Caenorhabditis elegans: one gene and its partner. The protein of the gene in region 2 purifies or fractionates together with the protein of the main gene of each other region. This does not show direct contact. Each region holds a gene or a part of one and is shown on either strand. Other genes may lie near its edges.

Evidence for each region.
Region 1: the proteins of C09G9.1 (region 2) and Y55F3AR.2 fractionate together in Caenorhabditis elegans (co-fractionation; one large-scale study listed by BioGRID). This does not show direct contact.

Annotation. Positions count from the first base shown.
Region 1 is NC_003282.8:1,092,499-1,097,893, reverse strand, and holds Y55F3AR.2 (Thioredoxin domain-containing protein), read right to left. Parts: upstream 3,354-5,395; 5' UTR 3,345-3,353; coding exon 3,250-3,344; intron 3,188-3,249; coding exon 2,932-3,187; intron 1,810-2,931; coding exon 1,396-1,809; 3' UTR 552-1,395; downstream 1-551. Other genes in the region: cox-18 (Cytochrome OXidase assembly protein), read right to left, coding at 352-432; cct-8 (T-complex protein 1 subunit theta), read left to right, coding at 3,981-4,128, 4,191-4,327, 4,380-4,454.
Region 2 is NC_003282.8:8,861,982-8,867,349, reverse strand, and holds C09G9.1 (Rhomboid domain-containing protein), read left to right. Parts: upstream 1-1,866; 5' UTR 1,867-2,028; intron 2,029-2,161; 5' UTR 2,162-2,303; coding exon 2,304-2,337; intron 2,338-2,912; coding exon 2,913-3,069; intron 3,070-3,115; coding exon 3,116-3,244; intron 3,245-3,300; coding exon 3,301-3,501; intron 3,502-3,852; coding exon 3,853-4,582; 3' UTR 4,583-4,745; downstream 4,746-5,368. Other genes in the region: alp-1 (PDZ and LIM domain protein Zasp), read right to left, coding at 5,320-5,368.

The DNA of each region.
Region 1 (5,395 bases), 7.8 Mb from region 2:
AATTTTTGATGATTTTCGCCGCAGTAAAAACGGTCAAAATTTCATATTTTTTGGATTTTTTAATGAAAAATGTGGGCTTTTTTCAAAATTAACACACATTTTCTTTGAGAAATTGAGAAAAATTGTTTTTTTCCTCGTTTGCATGTTAAAATATGTTTTTAAAAAAATTAAGAATCAAAATTTTCCAGGTTTTCTATGACAAATTTTGATTTTTGTGAGCAATTGGAAGAAATTAGCCAATTTTTGGCGAAAAAAATCGAAAAATTGCCTGCAATTTAGTATTTTATGCTTAGAAATCATGAAAATTTTGGTTTTTTTCAACTTTTTTGGACAAAAACTCTCAAATGTTACCGTTTCACACCGATTTTGAGGATTCAAAAATGACGTCGATGCGATAGAAATGTGCCGTGGAGCGCATATTCTGCTGAGCATTTTTTTTCGCTGAAAATTATTTTTGAACTTTTGAAAAATCTGGAAAATCTGGGGAAAAAAGTAAGGAAAATGTCTGGAATTTAGCCTATTTACACGGAAAATTACAAAAAAAAAGTTAAATGTGGAAAAAATAATTAATTAATTAAATTAAGAATATACAGCAATAAAATTGGGGGAAAAATGGGGAATATTTAGGACAAAAAGTACATATTTTAGGGGGAAAATAGTGTAAAATAATCACATTTTGGGGGTATTTTAGGGTGACGACAAGATTTCAAAGGTTTTGGAGCTGTTTTGGTGAAAATTTGAGCAAAAAATACTGAAAATCGTCAAACAAAAGTTGAAAATCAATTGAAACAAAAAAGAGGAATTTCTAGTTTTTATATGACGTAGAAATGTAGAAAAAGTGAATTTTTTCACAGAAATAATTAAAATTTTAGTTTAAAAAAATTGATTTTTATATAATTTTATCAATTTTTAACACTTAAAACACTTTAAAAGTGTCGAAAATTGAAGAAATGATTTTTTCTTAGACAAAAAAAATTGATTTACACATAGAAAAGTCAATTTTTCAGTTGAAATTTCACAAAATAACACCGCTTTCAAGCTGAAAAACGGATTTTTATGAAGAAAAGTCAATTTTTCGCCGTGAAAATCATAAATTTTTGAGTTGGAAAAGACAGTAATGTTGACGAAAATTTCGGTTTTCAATCATTTTCAGGCAATATTTCACAATTATTGACAGAAAAAATCAATTTTTAGACAAATTTTAGGTTTTAAATCCGATAATTTATCGCTTTTTCCATAGAAAAGTCAATTTTTCGACAAAAGTTTCCGGAAAAAAACATAGTCTTCATGATTTTCAGCGAAAATGTCAGGATTTTAGGTCTAAATTCAAATTTTCAATCAATTTTCATATCAAAATAATGTCGCCACCCTCAAGAAAATTCACAATGTTTAAAATTAATTTCCTCCAAGTCGCTGTCCACTTCCTCCAAAAGCTCTTGGTCCAGCTGGTGGTGGTGGTCTTGGTGCTCCGCCAGCTCCCGATCCACCAGCTCTCGGAGCTCCCGGAGCCGGTCCTCCTCCACGTGGTTGAGTGAAAAAGCAGACGGCAAGGGCGATCAGAAGCCCAAATGGCCCGAAAATGATGAGAAGTGCGATGGCGAGCAACAAATGGAATGGTTGAAGCTGAAAACCGGCGAAATTGACTCCAGAAATCCCGAATCCCTGTAGGCGCTCGTTAATTGTCTCAATTATGCGGAAAACTGGCTCCAGAGGATTTGGTCCCGCGGGTGGTGGAGCAGCTCCGGAGGCTCTTGGTGGAGCTGATGATGACGTGGAAGAGCTTGAGCCGGTCGTGGAGCCGGAGAGACGCTGAAAATTTAAATATTTAGGGGAAAAATTGAGTTTTTTTGTGAAAATTTAGCATTTTAATGTAGAATTTTCAATTTTCCAGGTTTTTTTACTAGTAAAAATGTGTTTTTTTCGTCGAAAAATATAAAAAGTTTTGCAGACGAAAATCCGGAAAATCTCGTGCTTTTCGAGCAAACCCACGGAAAATTGAAATTTTTTCAGATTTTTGGGCGTAAGTGTTGCATTTTTAGGCGACAATTGTGATTTTCTGAGCCAAAATCTTGAAAATTACCAATTTGGTGGAAAAATACGATTTTTTTTTTTTTGAGAAAATTAAGCTGAAAATTGAGCTTTTTGGTTGAAAAATGTGATTTTCCGAGCAAAAAACAAGAAAATTGAGAATTTTTGGGCAGAAATTGATGATTTTCTGAGCCAAAATCTTGAAAATTGCCAACTTTTTGGCTAAAATTAGGGTTTTTGGGGTGTGAATTGTAATTTTTGTGCGAAAATTTGGAAATTATGGGGTTTTTAAGTGAAATTTCAAGCAAAATAGCCGATTTTTTGCGTGAAAATTCAATTTTTTCTTGAAAAATTCGATTTTTCGCTGAAAAATGGATTTTCAACTTCAGCGAATAAAAATGTGTCAAAATCCGGTTTTAGGTCGAAAATTTGGGCTTTTCCACAAGAAAATCACAAATTTTCCGGAATTTTTCGTCTTTAAACTGGAAGTGTTAAGCTTTTTTCGTGAAAAAGTGAAAATTTGGGGCTAAAACTCAATTTTCGGATGAAAAATCGTCGTAGTAAAATTCAATTTTTGCATGAAAAAATACGAAATCTGAAGAGAAATATTTTTTCTGCTGATTTTGACGAAAATGCGAAAAATTTTGAGTTTTCTCGAGCAAACCCACATAAAATAGGTAATTTTTGAGTGAAAATTGCGATTTTTCGAACCAAAATCTTGAAAATTGCCAACTCTTGGGCTAAAATTAGGGGGTGTGGAGAGTAAATTGTGAATTTTTAAGCGGAAACTGTCTAAAAAATTGGGCATTGTCAGAGAATTGCGGGAAAATTCAGCCTTTCTGAGCGAGAAAAGTCATTTTTCAGGTAAAAAATTCAGTTTTTTCTCCGATCTTCTCTACGAACTTGTCCAGTTCCAGACCATGCGGCACTAGTCGACGCATATTTAGCCACCATACTCCTCAGTCCACTCTCATCGGCTCCTTGAATCGTCGCCTTCTTCTGCCCGTTCACAAATGCGATAAATGTGGGCATTGCGTTGACGCCGTACGTGGCGGCAGTTCCACGGCACTCATCCACGTCAACTTTTAGAAAAACGGAGCCTTTGTATTGATTGGCCAAGTCGCTGAAGATCGGCGCAATGTACTGGCATGGGCCGCACCTGGAGAATATAGAAAGATATATTTATGCTTAAAACACTGAAAATCCCTTGAAAAGCCTTACCAGGATGCTGTAAAATCCACAAAAACCGCTTTCCCGTTGCCCGCGGAGAACTTGCGGTCAAAATCCGAATCTCCATTGACAACTATTACTGGCATTTTCTGAAAAATTAGTGAAAAATTAATTGTTTTATTTATTTTCCACAAAAAAATTCAAAAAAAAACCTTGAAAACCACTTTAAAAATTAAAAAATCCAACAAAAAAAATAAAAAAATTGTTGTCAAGTCCGCAATGACACCGAACTTGACGCGCAAATGGTGTACACACATCAAAATCCACCGTACCCCACATCTCCCGTGGCGGCAAATCGCGGCGGGACCCGCCAGCAATTTCAATGCTCGCGAATTTTCCGAATTTCAAATTTTGTTCGCCGCTTCCAGTGTTTTCCATGAAATTTCTTTAGTTTTTCGCCGAATTTCTTGGTTTTTCAAGCAAAAATCGTGATTTTCAAGCTTAAAATCGGTGAAAAACGTGGGAAATTGGGCCAGAAAACCGGAAATTGGGTTAGATTTCCCATTTTGAAGTGTTTTGTCATCGTGAAGTTTCTCAAAGTGAATTTTGCCGTATTTATATTATTTTCTGAAGTTTTCAAGCTGAAAAAACAACTAACAATCTAAAAATCCTAAAATTTAGACCAAAATCTCTAAAACTTCACCTAAAATTGCTCATTCTTACTCAATTTTTACACAATTTTTCGATTTTGCCCCTAAAATCTAATAATTTGCAGGTAAATCATGGCTATGAAGATCCCAAAGTCCGGTTACAACCGGTTCATGAAGGAAGGAGCTCAGCACTTCAAAGGAACCGACGAGGCTGTTCAGAGGAATATCGAGGCCTGTACGGAGCTCGCTTCGCAGATTCGATCGGCCTACGGACCAAATGGTACGGAAAATTGCAGAATTTCACATTAAATATATGATTTTTCCCCAATTTTCCCACTTTAGGAATGAACAAAATGGTGATTAACCACATCGAGAAGCTCTTCGTCACCAACGACGCCGCCACCATCCTCAAGGAGCTCGAAATTCAGCATCCGGCCGCCCGTATCATCATTATGGCCACCGAGATGCAGGAGAAGCAGGTTTTTCAATAGAAAAACTGGAAAATTTAAATTTAAATGGGAAAAATTACAGATCGGAGACAACACGAACACCGTTGTGATCTTGGCGGCCGCTTTGTTGGAGCACGCTGCGAATCTCATCCATATGGTACTGGAAAACGTTGATTTTTGTCGAAAATTGTGGAAATTTGCTCGAATTCCTTGAAAAATGGGGTTTTTTAATCTAAAAATCCTCCAATTTATATATTTTGTCACTTAAAAGTGCCCAAAGTTCATGAAAAATCGCTGAAAAATCGATTTTTCACGCTTTTCTCAGCGAAAATTATAGATTTTTCGAGAGAACACTGCCAAAAAGTCGTTTTTGCTTGTTTTTAAGCATTTCCCGCAAAAAAGATACCAAATTTTGCTATCTTGAATATAAAAATCCGATTTCCAGAGATTTTTGCGCATTTCTCGCTAGAAACCCCAACATTTCGAAAAGTTTCAACTAAAAAGTGCCGAAAATGCAATTTTCAGCTAGTTTTCAAGCTTTTTTCTTACATTTCACTCGAAAATCCTCAAATTTCGCTTTTTTTTTTCGGCGGAAAAATGTCGAATTCACTAAAAAGTTTACAAATTATTCGATTTTTCGCGTTTTTTTTCAAGATTTTTTATTGAAAAATCCCAAATTTTCTCCATTTTCAGCTAACTTTCCTCATTTCTCGCGGAGAAAATACATTTTCACATCATTTTTATGCAAAAAATGCTATTTTTCTGCTGAAATTATCTAATTTTCCTTTTAAATAATCGCGAAAATTCAGTTTTTCAGCTTTTTTTTCGAGATTCTTCTCATTTTCAAGTAAAAATTCCAATTTTTTAAAAAATGTTTTTGATGCTTAATTGATCCATTTCAGGGTATTCTTGACCCAACAATTTTAGAAAAACGCTATTTTTTGACTAATAATCGGTTTTCCTTGGGAAAAATTTCCAAAAAATCAATTTTAAACTAGTTTTTGAGCAAAGAATATTTAATTTCCGAACATTTTCTCACACAAAACCCCCGAATTTTTTTGATTTTTCTTGGAAAAATTACCTAAAATTCATATTTTT
Region 2 (5,368 bases):
CATAAACTATTGTAGGTTGAGCCTTATAGCAAGCTAAATGAGAGCTTATAGAGAAATGTGAAAAATATATATTCGTGTTTCTAGAAACGTTTCTCTCTTGGTTTTATTTTTTGGAATTTCTAAACAGGAAAAACTATGCCAAGTCTTTTGATTGTCTGTAGAAGACGAACACCAGTTATCACAGAAACTGGTTTTAGTTGTTCTGCGAAATTCGTATTGTCTAATAAATTAGTATCATATGTTTTTTCTTTCTGAATTCATGCTAGTTTTCGATTTAGAAAACATTTTGATTGTATATTTAACTGAAAACATTTTCTCGGCTCGTCACCAAATCCCCGAAATTTATGACATTTTTGCCCATCATAGTTTTCTACAGGCCTGCTCAATTGTTCCATGTCATCCGCTCATTTCTGTTGTGCAAAATGTTCCACCCCCATCGAAAACAATAGAGCTGACAAGTTTAAGTTATAGTCGATCAACTTTCTTCGTAAAAGTTCATTAGATATCCATTTCTAATTGGAATTGACAAAAAAAAACGTTGATTCTCAGGACAACGTCACAGTTTCCAATCTGATATCCTATATCTCTAATAGAAAAATTCCCGAAATGCGGGTCTTGGCAATTGTCCATGAAGGGCCCTTAAAAGATGCGATGCTGAACAATTCAATGAATTTTCTTGCCATGTCAGAAATTTTTTAGCAAACACATTTCTGTTGAACACAACTTTTCCTTTTTCTTGCTGAAATAATCCTATCAAAACGCTCTATCAGTTCTATAAAATGGCAAATGAGAATAAAACAAAAATGTGAACACATGACATTTACAGGCAATTCATATCAGAGATTTATCGGAGCCCATTCGCTCGTTCCGATGTATTGCTTTGTTTTTGTTTCTTCTCCATTGAATTCCATCAATTCCCGCGAAAAAAAACATCACCTGTCACCTTGGGCGTCGCGGGCGCCCATAGGGACATCCTCTTTTCCCTTCAATGTCACCTCTGCGTCTCATTTCTTTCATCATTCTTGGCTCGATTTCACTTGTGTGTGTTGTCCGTCTGTCTCCCGCCCGTCGTTTTCTGCTGCTTTTCGCGCCCTCTCTTTCACTCCCCCACTGTGGTCGGTTGTGTCACTGTCTTTCTTATCGACCTCTTGGTGTCTGTTCCATCATCTTTTGTTGGTCTTGTCATTGGGTTTTGTTGTTTTATGTCCTTTTTCATTTGACAAATTCTGCAGGAAACAAATTTCGCAAGTATTCGCTCTAATTGCTGTTCAGATTGTCTCTGTGGATTTCGATTCACTAATCCGGATTTTTGCTCCCTGGATTTGTTAGTTCTCGTTCCTACATGGAGAATTTGAAAGTCTGTCACTCCGAATTTTGAAAATTTAATCGCCAAATTGATTCCACTTATTAGATATTACCCAGACGCGAAAATTTTGGATTTTAGTGCCAAAAATTGTTATAGTTTGAAACTACAGTACTCTTTAAAGGCGCACACATATTTCTATGCAATACATAATTGTCGCATTGAGGCCAGATACCGTATTTTCGCCCATAAAAATTGCGACATTTCGAGTCTGGGTAATATACAAAACTGTTTTTGAAATTTTCAGCAACACACAGCATATTTAATTTTATTGAATAAACATTGAAACTGATGGAAACAATTTTCCGATGGTAATCCAATGATTCTTGTTCTCAATTCACTTGCTGTTTGACTTGTTGCTTATCTTTCATTTCGAAATGAGCATTAAGTGTTCCCCTCCAATAGATTCTTTTGATTACCTCATTTCTCTATATACTCTAATTTTATCTGTACAATTGTACTTCTTTTTCTTCTTTTTCTTGTTGTATACATGGTTGTTGCAGAGCACAAAGGGCAACCAGACTCCGCCCATTTCTCAACTCTCTAAGTACCTTGAGAGGTAGTTAGAGAAAACGAGAAAACTACGAACGAGATCAGTTTATCAGCCAATCTGTGTGTTTGTTTCGAACGAGAGCAACTACCCGCTAGTCGTGGAATTGTGAGCTGTGAGTTTTTTGTTTGAAAAAAGAAGTATAAATGTAATACTGGGATCATAACCATTTTTTTGTATTTTCACTACTTTTGGATTAAAAAAAAAATGTCATGTTTTGGTCATTTCCAATCAAAAGTTCATTTCAGAATAAATTGGATTCCTAATTCAATTAGCCTCTTCCTGTCCGACCATATCTACGCTCTTCCAATCCATTAACCCCCGCCGACTGTGTTCGAACAACAACTACGACGAAATCAAATTCTTCTCTTACTAAATACGCCTAAAATAATGGGAATTCTTGATCATCCATCATCATCATCCGGTCAGTGTGGAACTATCTTTGAAAAAGATATTTTAAAAACTATATAAACATAAAAGAAAAATCTGCCCATTATGGCAATGAAACGCTTCGTTGATTGATAAATTGATGAATGGAATGTTTTATGATTAGTGACAGTGTTATCGTTTATATAGCGCCTAAAATAAAACTTTATGAGGACCCTATGGACTTTGATCGTGGGATGCAGAAAAAACTAACATAACACAAGTAGTTTCTCTTATCAGATTTATTTATCACTTGGATCCGATAAAAGATATGTTAAGATCCGTGGGCGCCGATGGCGCTCATTTATCAAAAATGTTCGAGGAAGAAAATCTGCAGAAAAATCTATTTTCTAGTTGTGATCAGGGCTGAATCCAAAATATTTTCTTTGTTGACAAACCGAGAACGATTAAAAAAAAAATTTCCATACTTTAATAATTGCGAGTGTTTTTTTTATGGAAAACAAAACTTTAAAAAGCATAAAATTAATTCTTCACCAAAAACATGAAAAAACAACAAAAATGCGGAAAACTAAATAAAAAGAAGCTCAGACTCATAATCATCAATATTTTCAGGTATCCAATCGGGTGGTGGTACATTTGGAATTGACTGGGCAAAATGGTTTCCACCAGTCACATCTCGATCCTTCCTTTCTCACTATCTTCCTGCTTCTGGAGCACTTTCACACACTCTTTACACTGTGCATTTGTTCAGTCCAAATATCATTTCAAGGTAAGTGTCTACGAATCAATTCTAAATTAGTTGTTTGTTTTTTCAGTCTGTTTCCGACGGGAGATCTTGCCGTCAGCAACACGATTCTGTTCAATGCCAACGTGGGACTCGGATTCTACGTGTATTTCAGAAGACACCTTCACCGTGTGAATCCATGGGAGAGAGTTGAATTCAGGTAAATTAACTTTTTTTTGAGAAAAAGAAAGATTCCAACAAATAATGATTTTTCAGTGTTCTTTCATCTACGCTGTTCAATTTTGGAAGTCTGCTTGCCGCAGTGCTCATCAAAGCATTGATCCCAGCAAAATCGCCAACTTGGCTCAAATCTCTGACAGCTACCGTACTCAGTGGATACCTACTGTCTCGAGCTGCAAAATATATGGGAATTCTCGACCATCGATCAAGCAGAGGTTCCGTTTCGCCGGCTAGAAGGTAGGCATTGTGCTTATTGTGAATGTGTGATTTTGTGTGCAATTACTGTGTTGAGTCATTTAACTTGTAATCAAAAGTTATAGAATCATAGATTTGATTTGAAAATTCAATTGGTGAAAATTCTTACATCGTTCTCGTTGTTTCTAATGACAACCGAGCAAAGTGTCCAGAACGTTTTAAATTATTGAAAAAAAAACTATCTTACAAAATTATCAAATTTTGACAATAATTATAGCCAAACCTGGATTAAAATTACATGATTTATTCAAATGAGTGGATATATTTAGAATACCTTTGTTCATTTGTTTAACATTCCAATTTCATAGTACTCGTTATTTCTCTGATTTCTAGCGTGCTGTCAAGACGGCAAACCGCTTCCCGTTCTTCTCATGCTGCAGAAGTTACACCTCCACCAGCATCATATGCTCCAGAAACACCTCGTTCAGTGGCTTCAACGTCATATTATTCTCCATCAGAACTGCATTTGGACACTACATCATCTGTTCAATTGGAGACTCCACCACAAAGCCATGAATCTGGATCTTTCATGCCAATGACACCTTCTGCCACAGAACATTCATCGTCAGAATTTGGGCAAGATTTGGAAGATGCTGGAGATAGACATGAAAATTATCGGTACCTTCACTCATATGCATTGAATAATTTGAATCATAGTCGCCCGAAGAAGGAAACGATTTTAAGAAGGACTACGATGAATCAGAAAAATCAGTTGGCCACACCACAGAAGCAATTGAGACGATCTTCGGAAACAATGGCTCCCATGTGCTTCGTGACTCCTGAACCATCGTGGAAAGAGCTGGATGTTGGAGTTTATACACCACCGCCGTCAAGAATGGATTTTACACCACAAGCCTCGAAAAAATTGACGAAGTCTTCAAAATCTGTGAAAATAATTCAAAAGAAGTCCCGCCGAATCCCGAACGAGAAGGATGATTTCGATCGATTTTTAGACGCAGTTCAGTGGCACGCCCCTTTAATTCTTGTACCAGTTGCATTTGGATGTTGGATAACTGGCAGTGTGCCAATTTTGAGCCCAACTTTACGATTTATTTTCGCATAATTGTTTTTTATCGCATTTGAATCTTCGATTTTTGAGATTCAAAAGTTTCCTCCCCCGTGTTTCATTGGAAACTCCGCCCCTCAATCTAATATTTACCGGTAGTGCCTGTTTTCTAGTGACCAAAATTTTTTGTTTTTATGGAAAATAAACATTTTTTTTTCTTAAATTTCAATGATACAACGGACGAAATAAGAATTTTCACCAATAAATTTCAAAATGCTTGAAATGTTTTGTGTGCCTTTAGTTTGCGTTTTTCCCGTTTTCAGACGACTCAATTTTTAGCATTCAACCTTCGCCACAACCATCGAATGGACATGCTCAAATAAATGGAATTCAACTCTAAATACTTGCATTTCTCCTTATTTTGTTCTCGTTGCTCCGTATTTTTCAAACTTTCAGAATTTTTTTGTCGGCTTTCTCACAATGCTCATGATACTCTTTTCATGGTAGTTTTTGTCCCAGATTTTGGTCTCGTTTTTTTATTGTATTTTCCGGTATTTTCTATTATATACATACATATGTTCAATCATAAAAGTTTCATGAAAAAGTAACGTTTATTAGTGAGAATAGAAATAAAAATGGAAACATTGTCTCATATTAAATAACTGAACATTTTGGGAAATGAAAATGAAAAATTTTGTGACATACAAAATAGAAGGCAGAGCAGTTTTTGAAGGTTCAAAATATAAAAATCAAATTGATTAAATTGGAAATGAAGAATTATTAAAAAGGCAGAACTAAGCGTGAAGTCGGCAGAATGGTTGACCATTTTTGGCGAAGAAACTC